2 linked regions of the Diceros bicornis minor genome follow. The protein of the gene in region 1 purifies or fractionates together with the protein of each later gene. This does not show direct contact. Links are inferred from orthologs where the notes say so. Each region holds a gene or a part of one and is shown in the gene's direction. Other genes may lie near its edges.

Evidence for each region. Proteins that work in one complex are often made in the same cells at the same time.
Region 2: the proteins of CDH5 (region 1) and JUP purify together in Homo sapiens (affinity purification with western blotting; 3 studies listed by BioGRID and IntAct, with this or other methods). This does not show direct contact. The link is inferred for Diceros bicornis minor from reciprocal best matches to the Homo sapiens genes CDH5 and JUP.

What each region holds. Positions count from the first base shown.
Region 1 is NC_080771.1:18,403,234-18,410,506, forward strand, and holds the start of CDH5 (cadherin-5), read left to right. Parts: upstream 1-4,194; 5' UTR 4,195-4,246; intron 4,247-7,273. UniProt on the Homo sapiens protein: Cadherins are calcium-dependent cell adhesion proteins. They preferentially interact with themselves in a homophilic manner in connecting cells; cadherins may thus contribute to the sorting of heterogeneous cell types.
Region 2 is NC_080757.1:41,065,624-41,072,935, reverse strand, and holds the start of JUP (junction plakoglobin), read left to right. Parts: upstream 1-4,308; 5' UTR 4,309-4,415; intron 4,416-4,422; exon of another isoform or gene 4,423-4,501; intron 4,502-7,312. UniProt on the Homo sapiens protein: Common junctional plaque protein. The membrane-associated plaques are architectural elements in an important strategic position to influence the arrangement and function of both the cytoskeleton and the cells within the tissue.

The sequences.
Region 1 (7,273 bases):
GATCAGGCTGGGGCACCAGGGACAGAGCATGGGCCTGTCCTGGCTCCTCAAGGGCCCTTCCCACCCTCTGGCAGGAGAAGGCAGAGTTAATCCTGTTGGAGAAGGAAAGTCTGAGCCTTTGTTTGTTCATTCCACAAACGGTGATCGAATGTGCTGGATCCCGCTCAGAGGCCGCCTCGGGACGGTTATCCTTCCAGCAGGTCGCTCCCCTTGCTCCAGCATCATCTGGCTTCCTGGCTGCTGGATGCCCCCTCAGCACACAAACACGCCACCACAGCCTCAAAAAGACAACAAAAAGCCTCCCATGTCTCTGCTCCCACCACTGCAAGTCTTGGGGAAGGAGCTGTGATCGCGTGTGCCTCTACTCGCCCATGCCTCCTGCTCTAGCCCGGGCCCTCTAATCCACCCTGTCCGCTCCTCTCCATCTAACCTGCACTGCTCACAGTCATCCATGACCTCCGTCCTCCAAACCCAGCAGTCGAGTCTCAGCCCTCGCTTTTCCCAGGATGACCCAGCTGACACCCCACTGTGCTGGCCCCATGGCCTCAGGGGCCAGCCCTAAGTGTCCCCCCCAACCCCCCCCAACCTCATCTCCAGGCCACCCGTCTCCACCTGTCCCCAACCCTGTCTCCACCCCATCTCCACCTGTCCCCACCTGTCTCCACCCCTGTCTCCACCTGTACCCACCCCTGTCTCCACCCTGTCTCCACCTGTCCCCACCCGTCTCCACCCCGTCTCCACCCCTGTCTCCACCTGTACCCACCCGTCTCCACCCGTCTCCACCCCTGTCTCCACCTGTACCCACCCGTCTCCACCTGTAACCACCCCTCTCCACCCGTCTCCACCTGTACCCACCCGTCTCCACCCGTCTCCACCTGTACCCACCCGTCTCCACCCCTGTCTCCACCTGTACCCACCCGTCTCCACCCGTCTCCACCTGTAACCACCCCTCTCCACCCGTCTCCACCCCTGTCTCCACCTGTACCCACCCGTCTCCACCCCTGTCTCCACCTGTCTCCACCCGTCTCCACCCGTCTCCACCTGTAACCACCCCTCTCCACCCCTGTCTCCACCTGTACCCACCCGTCTCCACCCGTCTCCACCCCTGTCTCCACCTGTACCCACCCGTCTCCACCTGTAACCACCCCTCTCCACCCGTCTCCACCTGTACCCACCCGTCTCCACCCGTCTCCACCCCTGTCTCCACCTGTACCCACCCGTCTCCACCTGTAACCACCCCTCTCCACCCGTCTCCACCTGTACCCACCCGTCTCCACCCCTGTCTCCACCTGTACCCACCCGTCTCCACCCGTCTCCACCTGTACCCACCCGTCTCCACCCGTCTCCACCTGTACCCACCCGTCTCCACCCCTGTCTCCACCTGTACCCACCCGTCTCCACCCGTCTCCACCTGTAACCACCCCTCTCCACCCGTCTCCACCTGTACCCACCCGTCTCCACCCGTCTCCACCCCTGTCTCCACCTGTCCCCACTCCTGTCTCCACCCTGTCTCCACCTGTACCCACCCGTCTCCACCCGTCTCCACCTGTACCCACCCGTCTCCACCCCTGTCTCCACCTGTACCCACCCGTCTCCACCCGTCTCCACCTGTAACCACCCCTCTCCACCCGTCTCCACCCCTGTCTCCACCTGTACCCACCCGTCTCCACCCCTGTCTCCACCTGTCTCCACCCGTCTCCACCCGTCTCCACCTGTAACCACCCCTCTCCACCCCTGTCTCCACCTGTACCCACCCGTCTCCACCCGTCTCCACCCCTGTCTCCACCTGTACCCACCCGTCTCCACCTGTAACCACCCCTCTCCACCCGTCTCCACCTGTACCCACCCGTCTCCACCCGTCTCCACCCCTGTCTCCACCTGTACCCACCCGTCTCCACCTGTAACCACCCCTCTCCACCCGTCTCCACCTGTACCCACCCGTCTCCACCCCTGTCTCCACCTGTACCCACCCGTCTCCACCCGTCTCCACCTGTACCCACCCGTCTCCACCCGTCTCCACCTGTACCCACCCGTCTCCACCCCTGTCTCCACCTGTACCCACCCGTCTCCACCCGTCTCCACCTGTAACCACCCCTCTCCACCCGTCTCCACCTGTACCCACCCGTCTCCACCCCTGTCTCCACCTGTACCCACCCGTCTCCACCCGTCTCCACCTGTACCCACCCGTCTCCACCCGTCTCCACCTGTACCCACCCGTCTCCACCCCTGTCTCCACCTGTACCCACCCGTCTCCACCCGTCTCCACCTGTAACCACCCCTCTCCACCCGTCTCCACCTGTACCCACCCGTCTCCACCCCTGTCTCCACCTGTACCCACCCGTCTCCACCCGTCTCCACCTGTACCCACCCGTCTCCACCCGTCTCCACCTGTAACCACCCGTCTCCACCCCTGTCTCCACCTGTACCCACCCGTCTCCACCCGTCTCCACCTGTAACCACCCCTCTCCACCCGTCTCCACCCCTGTCTCCACCTGTACCCACCCGTCTCCACCCGTCTCCACCTGTCCCCACCCGTCTCCACCCCTGTCTCCACCTGTCCCCACCCCGTCTCCACCCGTCTCCACCTGTCCCCACCCCTGTCTCCACCTGTCCCCACCCCGTCTCCACCCGTCTCCACCCGTCTCCACCCCTGTCTCCACCTGTACCCACCCGTCTCCACCCGTCTCCACCTGTCCCCACCCGTCTCCACCCCTGTCTCCACCTGTCCCCACCCCGTCTCCACCCGTCTCCACCTGTCCCCACCCCTGTCTCCACCTGTCCCCACCCCTGTCTCCACCTGTCCCCACCCCTGTCTCCACCCCTGTATCCAACTGTATCCACCCCTGTCTCCACCAGTCTCCAACTGTATCCACCCCATCTCCAACTGTAGCCACCCCTGTCTTCAACTGTAGCCACCCGTCTCCAGCTGCCAACCTGACATCGCCACTGGGTTGTGTAAGGGCCATCTCAACATCAACGTGCCCCAAACAGAGAAATCTTTATCTCCCCCTCCCCAAAAATATTCTTCCATCCCATTCCCCCTCTCCACACTAGTGTCCACTGACTTACTGAGGGCCCCTGGGCAAGGCCTCTCCCTCTCAGGTCTCTGCCCAGCTGTACAACGGAACAGGTTCGGGACTTCCCAGCCATTCATTCATCCACGGAAACAGAGGGGCAACTAGTCAAAGGACAGACTCCCACTGCCTGCCCTGGGAGACTCCACATCCCTCGGCCTGGGGTGGGGCCCCGGGATCCGCAGTTCATAAAAGCTCCTCAGGACTCTCGTGACTCACAGAATTTGAGCCCCTCCCCCGCAGCATCTTGGTTCTGACGGGCTCTGATCCGGCCTTCAGCTTCACTATCTTTCATGTCCCTCTTCGACTCCCGTTTACCACAATAGCCATGTGAGGTTCAGGCTACGACTTTCCACATTTTACAGATGAGGAAACTGAGGCTCAGGGTGGACATGACTGGCTCATAGTCACATCAGAAGCAGAGCCAGGGCGCTTGACTCCACCTGATTTTTCTAAACCCAAACGACCCCCCAAAGCCCAGTCTGGTGCCTTAGAGCTGGAACCCACGCCCCCTCACTGGGAAGAGGTCGATCCAACTCACAGAGCCAAGAGCTGTGGTCTGTGTCCCACCTCCCACCCACTCCACCCCCGACGCCCTGAAGCCTCCCCATCCCCTGCAAAGTCGGCCCCACCCCAGCATGTCATGGGGTCACCTGGGAAAATCTGGCTCTGGGCCTAGGCTGACCCAGGCTGGATTTTTGGCTCTGCTACGCCCCAGCTGGGTGGACGAGCATCTTCAACTTGCTGAGTCTCAGTGTCCTGAGCTTTATTATAAAATGGGGGTGATGACCCCTGCCCTCGGGGTTACAGGGAGGGTGAACTAAGGCCCTAGGCAGGTGCTGGGCTCAGGACGCCAGAGCTGAGGCCCGGGCCGGGTCCAGGGCTAGGCCTCTGTGAGGTCAGCCTGGCTGGGCCGAGGCAGCCGCCCACTGTGGGGCCTGCCTATCTGCAGCCAGCCCGGCCCTCACAAAGGAACAATAACAGGAAACCATCCCGGGGGAAGTGGGCCAGGGCCAGCTGGAAAACCTGAAGGGGCGGCGGCCAGGCCTCCCTTGCAGGCCAGGCGTGGCTCCCCTCGAGAGCTGTCGGCAGAGCCCCAGAGAGCTCCGGAGCACACTCGGCCCCAGGCAGGCAGGCAGACGAACGGAGACACCTCTCAGCCCACGGGCACGGTGAGTGAGGGCTCCCTGCACCGCGCTCCACCCAGACCCATCGCCATGTGCCCGGGACCGGAAGGTCCTCGGCTTCCCCATCTTAGAATGGTGGTGGTCGGGGTCTCAGGAAGATCCACTCCTCGGGCCAGACTCGGCCTCCTCCTGGTTCAGAGCAGGGCTGGTGCACCCCGTGGAGGCACCGGCCACGAACAGGTGTTCTCAGGGCTGAGGGAGGGGGTGAGGACTCGGCTCTCCCACATGTAGACTCTCCAACTCGGTGTGACTCGAGGGCCCACTGGCTTCCATCGGTGCCAGGCTCAGAGAGGGCAGGATTCTACCCGAGTCGCCCAGCACACTGGGGCGGAGGACTGGCACCCAGGCCTAGGCTCCCCCTCGGTGCCCCTTCCCCGTGGGAAAGGATTAGCCAAGGCCTGGCATCATCCCCTCCCCCAAGGCTCTGGGATTGGGAGAGGAGCTCAGCCCCCCTCCGTTAGCCAGTGCCCCCACTTTCAGAACAGGCAAGCTGAGGCTCAGCTCTGGGCACCTGAGGTCCGGCCTACGGACTCCCCTTCCCGCCCTGCCCCAGACACACAGGACGGCTACCAGCTGTGGAGCCGTGGTCGGGAAAGCGGCCCACCCTTCCCCCCAACACCCAGATAACCGAAGGCTGGGCCCAAGGGACCCCGCAGCCCTCATATTTTAGGGAAGTCTCCCCCAAAAGACTTGAAGGCAGGCGGTGTAGGGTGAGAGCCCAGCCTGGAGACCGTGGTCCTGGCGCAGAGCCCAGCCCCACCACTCGCTTCCTGTGTGACTTGGGGAAAACTCTCCAGTGTCTCCGAACCTCAGTTTGCTTGTCTGAACAATGGACATAGCGAGTCTCTGCAATTTACTGTGGGAACTGGAGCTGATGCGCATAGGAGGCTCTTAACCAAAGGGGCTCATTATGTTATCCTACCAACAACCCAGTGAGTGGGACAGATCCTTTCTCCGCCTCTAGTGGAGGCGGCTGAGCTTCAGAGAAGGTAAGGAAGAGCTGGAGTGGGGAGCTTGTACCCCAGAGCCCAGGCTCCTTCCAGCATCACGCAGCTTCTCCATGCCTCAGCCTTCTCATCTGGGAAATGGAGGAAACGGTCTTTTCATGAGTCACCTGAAGGAGGCAGTGTACACACCTGGCACCGGGAATGGCTCATAGCAGGGGAGTCTTCGAGAAATCATGGCTGAATTTACCTGCCACCCCAGAGCTGACCGTGGCTATGAGTGTCATAAAGGTTTTGACCCCTGAGGTCGGTGAGTCCCCAGCAGGTGAGGCGGAGGGGGTGCAAGTGAGGGGCTATCGACTCAGCTCTTCCTCTGGCCAGCACTTTGGGTAGCTACTCTGCACCAAGCACTGTGCTTGTTCTCCACACCCCTCGATGGACGTTTCTGCCATGGGTGGTGGGCAGATAGGATCCTGACAGGAAAGAAGGGCATTCTAGGGGAGGCAGGAACCCTGGGCAGCTCGGAGGTTTTGGGAAGGCTGTGGCCAGAGGGTTTTTTAGAGCCAGGAGCGCCAGGAGGGCTAGTGATGCTGGAGGCCCTGAGTGCCAGGCCCAGGAGCGCTGGTTCATCTTCAGGCGATGGGGGGCAGTGGGACTGTCCCCCGTCTGGCCTGAGTCCAGCCATCTTTGGGCCCCAGCCTGGAGGGCAGCAGGTGACCTCCAAGGGGCCCAGGCAGCCCTGCCAATTCCGGCTTACTATGGTGAGGGCAGAGGGGTGGCATCCCCCGGCCTTGAAGAGGTTAAGCTGCCCACCATGCAGGCTTGACCTGAGCAATTGTGCTGCTGAACAAGAGCCGGACGTGGGGGCAGGAAGTCAGAGGGGGCTAGGCTTATTTTCTCCCGAAGTTGGATGACTCACAGCTCTGCTGCTGCCTCTGGGACACAAGGTAGACACTGGCCACCAGCTAGGGAAAAACCTTGGGCCACTTGCCCATGTGGACCCATCCCTGCTACATCCGTCACCTCTCTGCACTCCCATGGCAGCCTTGAAGCTACTAAAAGAATTTCCATTTCACAGATGGGACCACAGAGGCCGAGAGAGGCTGAGCAGCCAGTCCAAGGTTACAGTTAGCACAAGGTGGAAGCAGGATATGAGTGAGGCCAGCGCCTCTGACCTCACGGCCCCCGCCACGCTCCATAGCGAAGCTCAGAGAGGGGATAAGTGGAGGAAGATTGAACCTGGCCGTTCAGCCACAGTTGGCTGACAGTTCAAGCCACAGAAGCAGGTATCAGGACAAGCCAGGAGGCCCAATGACCCTGGGGAAGGAATGTTCCAGGAGACAAGTCCTGCCCTCGGGAGCTTGGCTTCTAGCTGGAGAGCTACTGAAAAGCCCATCCTAACCCAGGTCTAAGCTGATGTTGGGTGGAGAAATCATAGAAGGCTTCCTGGAAGAAGAGCAGGAGCCCCAGAGGAAGCTGGGAGGTCTTGGGGAGCCCCTCTGCTCTCTGAGCCTCAGTCTTCTCATCTCTCTAGGGCAGGGAATGGACCTCATTCAGGGACCTCCAGATTGTTTGTCTTGGGCCACAGCGTAACAGTCAGATCCTGGCGGGCGCAGATACGAGGAGGAGGAGGAAGCAGGGCCCATGGGGCCAGGCCAGGCAGGCAGTGAATGAGATTTCCTTCTGGAGAGGCACAGAGGGGAGCAGGAGGTGGGGCCAGGGCAGAACCAGGAAATGAGGCCAGGTGTGAGTCGGCCAGTCGAGCCCACAGCCACCAGGCTGACGAGGGTGAGTGGATGTGGGTCAACAGACCCGCACACTTACTGAGCACCTACTGTGTGCCAGCTTCACCCCCTTGACCTCATTTAATCCTCCTGACTAGGAAGGCAGCTACGGTTGATGAGGAAGCTGGGGCCCACAGAGGGCAAGGGATGGGCCTAAGGCCACACAGCTCCTATGCAGCTGAGCAGGTTCAAACAGGTAGGCCTGTAGGGTTCATTCTATTGCCCCCACTGACTGCCTCACAGCCCCCATCAGAGTAGGGAAGCCCAGAGAAGGCTGGAAAAGG
Region 2 (7,312 bases), on another chromosome or scaffold:
GCGGTGCTGCTGTCCTCGGGAGGGGAGGAAGGGCCGGAGTGAGAGACCCCAGGCCCTAGAAGCGGGGTCACTGCTGGGCAAGGAATTTCAGGGTTTCCGCCACCCGGAGTGTGGTCTTGAAGGGGAGAGCCATGAACTCTGTATAGGCTTGTTCCTTTGGCCCTGTGTGGAGGGCACAACCGCAGGAGGGCTGGAGTGGGGCCTTCTGAGGGATAGGACCCAACACAGAGGCCCCTTTCCCAGGTCCACGGGTGGCTCTGCCCCGGGGCTGAGAGCCGGCCTGTGCTCAAGATGCCTCTTCCTTTTCTTATTGCCTTTGATTCCAGCCTGCCACGTGGGAAGCGACAACTCCCGGTTGTCGCTCTCCTTTCCCGCTGCTGTAACTAACGCCAGGGGAGAGGGAGCTGCTGTGTGATGAAGAGGGACCATTGTCAGCCTGAAGTTTAGCAACCCGTCTCTTCACCCCAGTCTCCCTTGATAGAGATGACCATCCCTGAGGCCACCCTAGAGGAAGAGGAGGGATGAAGGGTGTGTGTGTGTGTGTGTGTGTGTGTGTGTGTGTGTGTATTTGTCTGTTGGGGAGAAAGCGTTGATGCGTCTGGTGTTTGCGTATCTGAATCTGTGCCCATGAGTGTATATCCCTGAGGTGTGAGCACGGAAGGTTGTGTGTGTTTGTGTGTGTGGCTTGTGCAGATCTAAATCTCCTCAGCCTCTGTCTGGGGAAGGGACCCCACAGAGAAAGGGCCAAGTTTGAACAGACAACAGAAACTCTTACCTCCTTATATGGCCCAGAGGCCTCCTGGCGGGGAGGGGAAGTGAGATGAGCCTGGAGGGCACTGGGCTGTTGTTCACCTTCCCTCAGGAAAGCGCCTGCCCATCCCCCACCAGCTCCCCTCCCTCCCAACAGCCCCTCCTTGGACCCCTCTTTGCTAGTAGCTTCTGTCTCTGGGACAGCTTGGGATGGGCCACTGGGTGCTCTTTCCTTCTTTACTTGAGGCCCCAGAAATCTGCAATGTTGAATTAACCATATGTGATCTTGACGGCCCAAGGACGCTGCTTCCACTGAGCTCTGGGCAAGAGAAATGAGTTTAAATTGCAGCAATACAAATTGAGGCTAGACATCAGAAGGAACTTACCAGTGTTAGGATAAGGAGACAAGGACATTCATATATGGGAGGCTGGAGACTCTCCTTTCCTGGAGATTTGTCAAACAGAGAAATCCCTGCCTTCAAAGGCTTGGAGGCAGGGGACTGGGTAAGATGGTCTTGTGGCCTTTCCTTCAAGCTCTAGTCATAGAGGAGACTGCTGCACAGCGACTCTCATCCCCATCCCTAGGCACCTCCTTGCCCTGTGAGACCAAATCCCCTACACAGACAGCTGATTCTGGTCAACATCATTTTCTGTATCCTACAGATGAATCCTCAGTGCCTGGCAGGCACGTAGTAGGTGCTTCATAAATGTGCAGAAAACCCCTTGATCTGGGCGGAGAGACACAGCTGTCATCCCAATCTTTCCTACTGCTGCCGCGGTGCCTCCACCCAGTCCCAGCCTGAGCGCTTAGTTTGGGGCAAGCATGTTGCAGCATGTTCCAGGCTGACAAGCAGGGAACATTCTGGGGAGACACACACACACACACACACACACACACACACACACACACACATGCACATAGGCTTTATTCTGAAGCCTTATTTCTGCCCCTCCACCCGATCCAGGTTCCTCCACCCCTCTGCAGCCAACCAGCCCTGCCCTGCCCGTATGCGGAAGTCAGGAGAAAGGAAGGAGTTGAGCCAGGCTTGAGTCTGGGAAGTGTGTGTGTGTGTGTGTGTGTGTGTGTGTGTGTGTGTGTGTGTAGGCAGGGGAGGGTGTGGGAAGGTGGGAAGTGGGCAAGGGAAGGTGGGAAGTGGAAGAGGGAGGAAGTGAAACCCTGGCGACGGCAGCAGCCTAGGATTTCGAGCTCCTTTCCCCCCAAGCTGGGGGCTGGCCACTGCACAGTGTGGCAGGGTGCTGAGCAGGTGGGTGGGGCAGGGGTAAGGTATGGAGAAAGATACTGAGTAAGCTGGAGGAGGGGGAGGAAGGGAAATGAAGCACAGGGCAGTGGCACGTGGGATGGTACCTGGTTAGGGATGTTGATGTCTCCCTGCCCCCTCCAGGAAGACCTCTTGGATGGCACAAGCCTCAGAAGTGCGACTGTTTGGCCATCATTGCAACTGTTTAGCCATCATTGCTTTCTCTGGTGGGGAAAGCGGTCAAGGATGCTGCAGGGCTTCCTTCACCCAGCCCACCTGTGTGCGAGCTTTGGGGCTATAATGCTTCTTTGAGGGAGGACCCTTTCCCGAACAACCCCTCTCCCTACACACACACACACAGAGCGGCTGAGGTGACCTGTTTACACTTAGCCCTCTGGAGCCCTTTGAGGGTTGGGATCATTTTGATTTTCCATGTTACCAGTGCCTAACCCAGTGCCTTGCATACAGTTGGTGCTCTATTGATGAATGAATGTCTGTAGGACCCCTGGCACACTGTACTGCCACCAGCAGGCACTCATTTCATCAGCCACAGAAAGAGAAGACTCTTATCTTCTTAAGCTGCCTATTGGGAAGTTCTTTCTTTCTTTCTTTCTTTCTTTTTTTGTGAGGAAGATCAGCCCTGAGCTAACATCCATGCCAATCTTCCTCTTTTTTTTGCTGAGGAAGATCGGCCCTGAGCTAACATTTATTGCCAATCCTCCTCCTTTTTTTTTTTTTTTCCTTTTCTCCCCAAAGCCCCAGTAGATAGTTGTATGTTATAGTTGCACATCCTGCCAGTTGCTGTATGTGGGACGTGGCCTCAGCATGGCCGGAGAAGCAGTGTGTCGGTGCGCACCTGGGATCCGAACCCGGGCCGCCAGTAGTGGAGCACGCGCACTTAACCGCTAAGCCACGGGGCCGGCCCCGGACGTTCTTTCTGATAACTAACCCAGACTCTTCCACTACTGAGGGGCCTGCTGCCCCATTTCTTTTAGGCAGTGTTGATTTCCTTGCTGCCTGATTTCTTCCAAACCCACCAATACTTTCTCAGTCTTTGTCCCTTTCACAGGGATTTCTCTGTTTGACAAATCTCCAGGAAAGGAGAGTCTCCAGCCTCCCATATATGAATGTCCTTGTCTCCTTATCCTAACACTGGTAAGTTCCTTCTGATGTCTAGCCTCAATTTGTCCCTTTGTCCCAAATCACTACTCTTCTGTCTCTCCCCGGAATTTGTTTTTGCCTTTTCCCCGGCCCCTCCCCACTGCTTTGACATTTTATGTCGGTGCTATATTCCACCAGGAGAACATGTAGTTTGGTGAGCCTTGAAATGAGAAGAAAGGGGTTCTAGTTTAGGATGTGCCACTTTCTAGTTTTGTGACCTCTCTGAACCTCAGTTTCCTCATCTTTGAAATGACAATCATTTTGTTGTCCTAACAATTTTTCAGAACTGTCACGAGAATTAAAAAAAAAGTCATTAATTTAAATTGTAACATTTAGCAATTGTCCAAGTGATTTCACAAACTTTACTTCATTTCATCCCCACATACTCCCTTGAGAGAGAGATATAGCCAATGTACCCATTTTACAGAGGAGGAGAAACAGGGTGAGATGAAGTAACTTGCCTAAGATCATATAGCTCCTAAGTGGCAGAACCCAAACTCAGGCCTTCTGATTCTAAATCTCAGGAGCATTCCATCTTTCAGGAAAAAATTCCCAAACCAGCTAATAGCCTATGAAGTGCTATACAAACATCTTATTACCACTTTGTGGCAAGGGTGAATAAGCCCAAAGAAGCATTATTCCTGACGCTGAGCTGGCTGGCTGGTGAAAGCGTCTGTCCTTTCCCATGGCGCCTCCTGACTCACCTGTTGGACAGGTAGGGGGAAGGGGAGAGTAATGAGTCTTACCTGCTCAGAGCTAGGGTGGGGCAAGACACACCCCATCCCTCCCATTGGTTCTTTCCTTAGTCTTACTGACGACACCTTGCCCAATCAGGAGGAAGTAACCTCCTATCTGCCAATAGGTGCGGAGTTAGGATGGAACCTCAAGTTGGAGGCCGTCCCCAGAGCCGACTGGCAGTCTCTGGTGCCAATGGCCAGAGGATAAACAGAGGTGGCGATGGAAGAGAACTGGGCGCGAGGCTCCGCCCCTCGATGGGACAGTCAAGCGAGGCAGCCAGTGAGCCCGCATCAGCGGGTGGGCGTCTCCCTCAGGGGCGGAGCTTCGAGGGGGCGAGAGGCGTGGCTTGGCTGTCAGGTCCCTTCGCCTTTTGTTCGGTTACTGAGTTGCTGCCTTGGCCAGAGTCCGGAGCAGCCGCCGCCCGAGCGCGCCGACCTCAGTTCGCCGCCCGCGCCGGCTCCCATCCCGGCCCGACCCCTGCCCAGCCCGGCCAGGCTCCACACGCAGGTGCGGACGATCGGGGCAGGTAGCGCTGGGGCGAGAGAAGGGCGGCGAGCGGCCGAGAGAGGCCAACCCCCGCCGTCTCAGGGCAGGTGAGGGCGGGTGTCAGGGAGCGCCTCCCTGCACCGGCGGCAGGGGGCGCGCTGGGGTCCTGGGCGCGGCGGCTAAAGGGGCGCGAGGTTCGGGCCGGGTGCGCTGAGGGGCTGCGTGAGCCGGAGATCTGGGAAGGGTGGAGAGGGATCAGGGCAGGTGTCTCCGGGGTCGCGCCTCCGCCGGGGCCGCGGAGCCCGCCCGACGCCGCGTCCCTGACTCTCACCCTGACTCTTGCGGGGGAGACTTTGACCTGCTCCGCCTGCGTCCCAGGGCTCACTCTGTAGTCAGGAATTTACTGTTTGAAAACTTGCTGCCGCTGGTCTCTTTGGGGCCACCCTCACCCCACCTCACGCGTCATCCTCGCTTTCCCTCCCTCCCTACTCCCCCAGGCCTGGGTGGGGCCCTATTGTCTGCGCCCGGCTTGCCCAACTGTGGGGCCGAACGCACATTTTCCAAGCGACGCGGGCCCCACCTGCCGAGCAGGTGAGCACACGGAGTCCAGAGGCTCTGCCCTCCAACTCCCGGAGCTTCGTCGGTTCTGTACCTGTGGCGCCTCCCTCCGCTCTGGTGGGTGCCGGGCTGTGGCTCCGCCAGGGGTGCTGGGATGGGATGAGAGTGGGACTGGTGCAGGGCCCGGCTCCGCGCCCAGCTGGGGTCTGGCACCAGTGGCTCGGACAGGGGTCTGGGCAGAGGGGTCGTGCATGGGTAGAGAATTCACTGGCCCAGTTTCCAGTAGATGCCGCTTCCAGAGTGTTGATATGGGAACCGGACCATTCTTCTTCTCTATCCTCTTATTGTCGGAAAAAGCACCCAAAACAAACTTTCCAGGAGGAAGTATTCACAGCAGCTTTCTCTGGGGGTTTTCCTGCCTCCTTACCCAGGGCGTCCCCCCAGGCTTACGGGGTCCATCTTGAGCAAAGCCCCCTCCCCCAGCCGGCCAGGCTGAACCAGGGCCAGTGCCTGCGCTGTGACCCTGCCTCCCCGCCCCCACTTCCATCCTGTTTGCTGGGCCCCTGGGGCCTGAGGTGGGGGCCGGGGTGGGGGGGGTGGGCCGAAAGGGGAAGCAGCTTCTTCCTTCTCTTCCTGCCTCCGGGGACCACCACACCCCCTCGCTTGAGGCCTGCGCAAGTGGCTTTCTCCCCAGCTCTGCCCCCCTCCCCAGGAATGGGGGTGGGGCAGGGCCGGGCCAAACAGACGGGGGTGGGGGGAGCGATTGTTCTTTTTTTTTTTCTCTACCCCATCCCCCACATTGTTTTGCTGGCTGGCAATTGAGGCCTAAGAGCAAAGAGCAATGTTGCTTGATTTCCATTTGCCTTCTGGATTTTGAAGGTGCATTCCTTCTGGAGGCTTTGCAGTCCATTCCCCACCCACCCCCTTTCCTGAGAGTTTGATTGGGAAAGTTGGGACAGGAGGAAGGATTCTGGGGGGAAGGTTTCAGGCAGAGCTGCATTAGCCACCCCCACCCCCCCCATTTCTTGAGAGCCCCTTCCCTGGCCAGAGTTGGGGATCTCCACCAGGCTTTCACACAGGTTTTAAGAAATCTGAAGTGTGGTCTTTTTGCAGAGATTTGGAGCCCAGCCTCCTTGAGGAACAGAGGGGGAATGTAGGAGCCAGGTTCTCCCTGAGTCCTGGGGTGAAGGGAAGACTTGGGGGGAAATTGGGGCTGCTTGCCCTGACTCACTTGGGAAGACCCTGTGGCCTCTTTGGTGGTTGGAGATGGGAGAGTGGGGGCAAAGGTCAGCCCCACTCCTATGATGTGCCCCTGGGCAGGGATCAGGCCCTACTCTGGGTTAGGGGGAGACTGAGGAGAGAACCCCCTCCCTCTTCTGCTCTAGTGGGTGGGGTACCTCTGGGGAGCCACAAGGGTATGGAGTTTGGGCAAAAATAACCTGTTTTCCCTCCTCTGTGCCAAAGTGGAGGAGGGGAAGGCATTGTAATTACATTGGTTAAATGATTAGTTTAGCTAATCTGGTTTGTGGCTGTGATGAAAAGACAATATTGAGGAAGCATTGCTAGGAGGTGCCTGGTGAAAGCTGGCTGCTTACTGGACAGGAGGGAGAAGGGAAAAAAAGGCAGGATCCAATTAGTCATTCCTTGCTAGATCAAGCCCCAGCTTGGGTGACTTGAGCCCTCTCCACCCCCTCCACCCTGCCCCACCCCTGCACCCCAGCTCCACCCCATTCCCTCTGGACCTTCTGCTTGGGCTGCTGGGGCTAAGGCTTTGAGAAGGCAGTGTGTGGGAATGGAGGAGATCAGGCTAGGGCTGGCAGCCATGGGACAGGTAGATGTGGGGGTGGGAGGGTGGTGGTGGTAAGGGGGCATCTCTCCCTGACCTGGGAGGGGTTGGGCAGAGGAGCCACCTTAGAATGAGATGGGGCAATTGACTCGCCTACTGAAGGGCTGTTTTTGTGGAGAGATGTTACAGTGGGGCAGTTCTGAACACTGCGATTTCGGCTTAGACTGAGCTGGGTTTGAATCCCAGCTCTGTCAGTCATTACCTGTGTGGCCTTGGTCAAGTCACTTCACCTCTCCAAGCCTCAGTGACCTCCTTGGCAGAATGGGAATAATAATACCTACCTACTCAGTAGATACTTGACACATGGTCACTTAAAAGGTGAGGGAGGACTTTACAGATACCAAGTACTTTCATTGACTGTTCTCACTTAATCCTTGTGGCTATCCCTAGAGGCGGGTGTCCTAACCCCATTCTACAGGTGAGGAAATTGAAGTTAAGTAACTTGCCCAAGGTTGCACAGCAAGACCCAAGCAGAGCCAAGACTGGTGTTTGGGTCCTCTGGCTCCAAACCTAG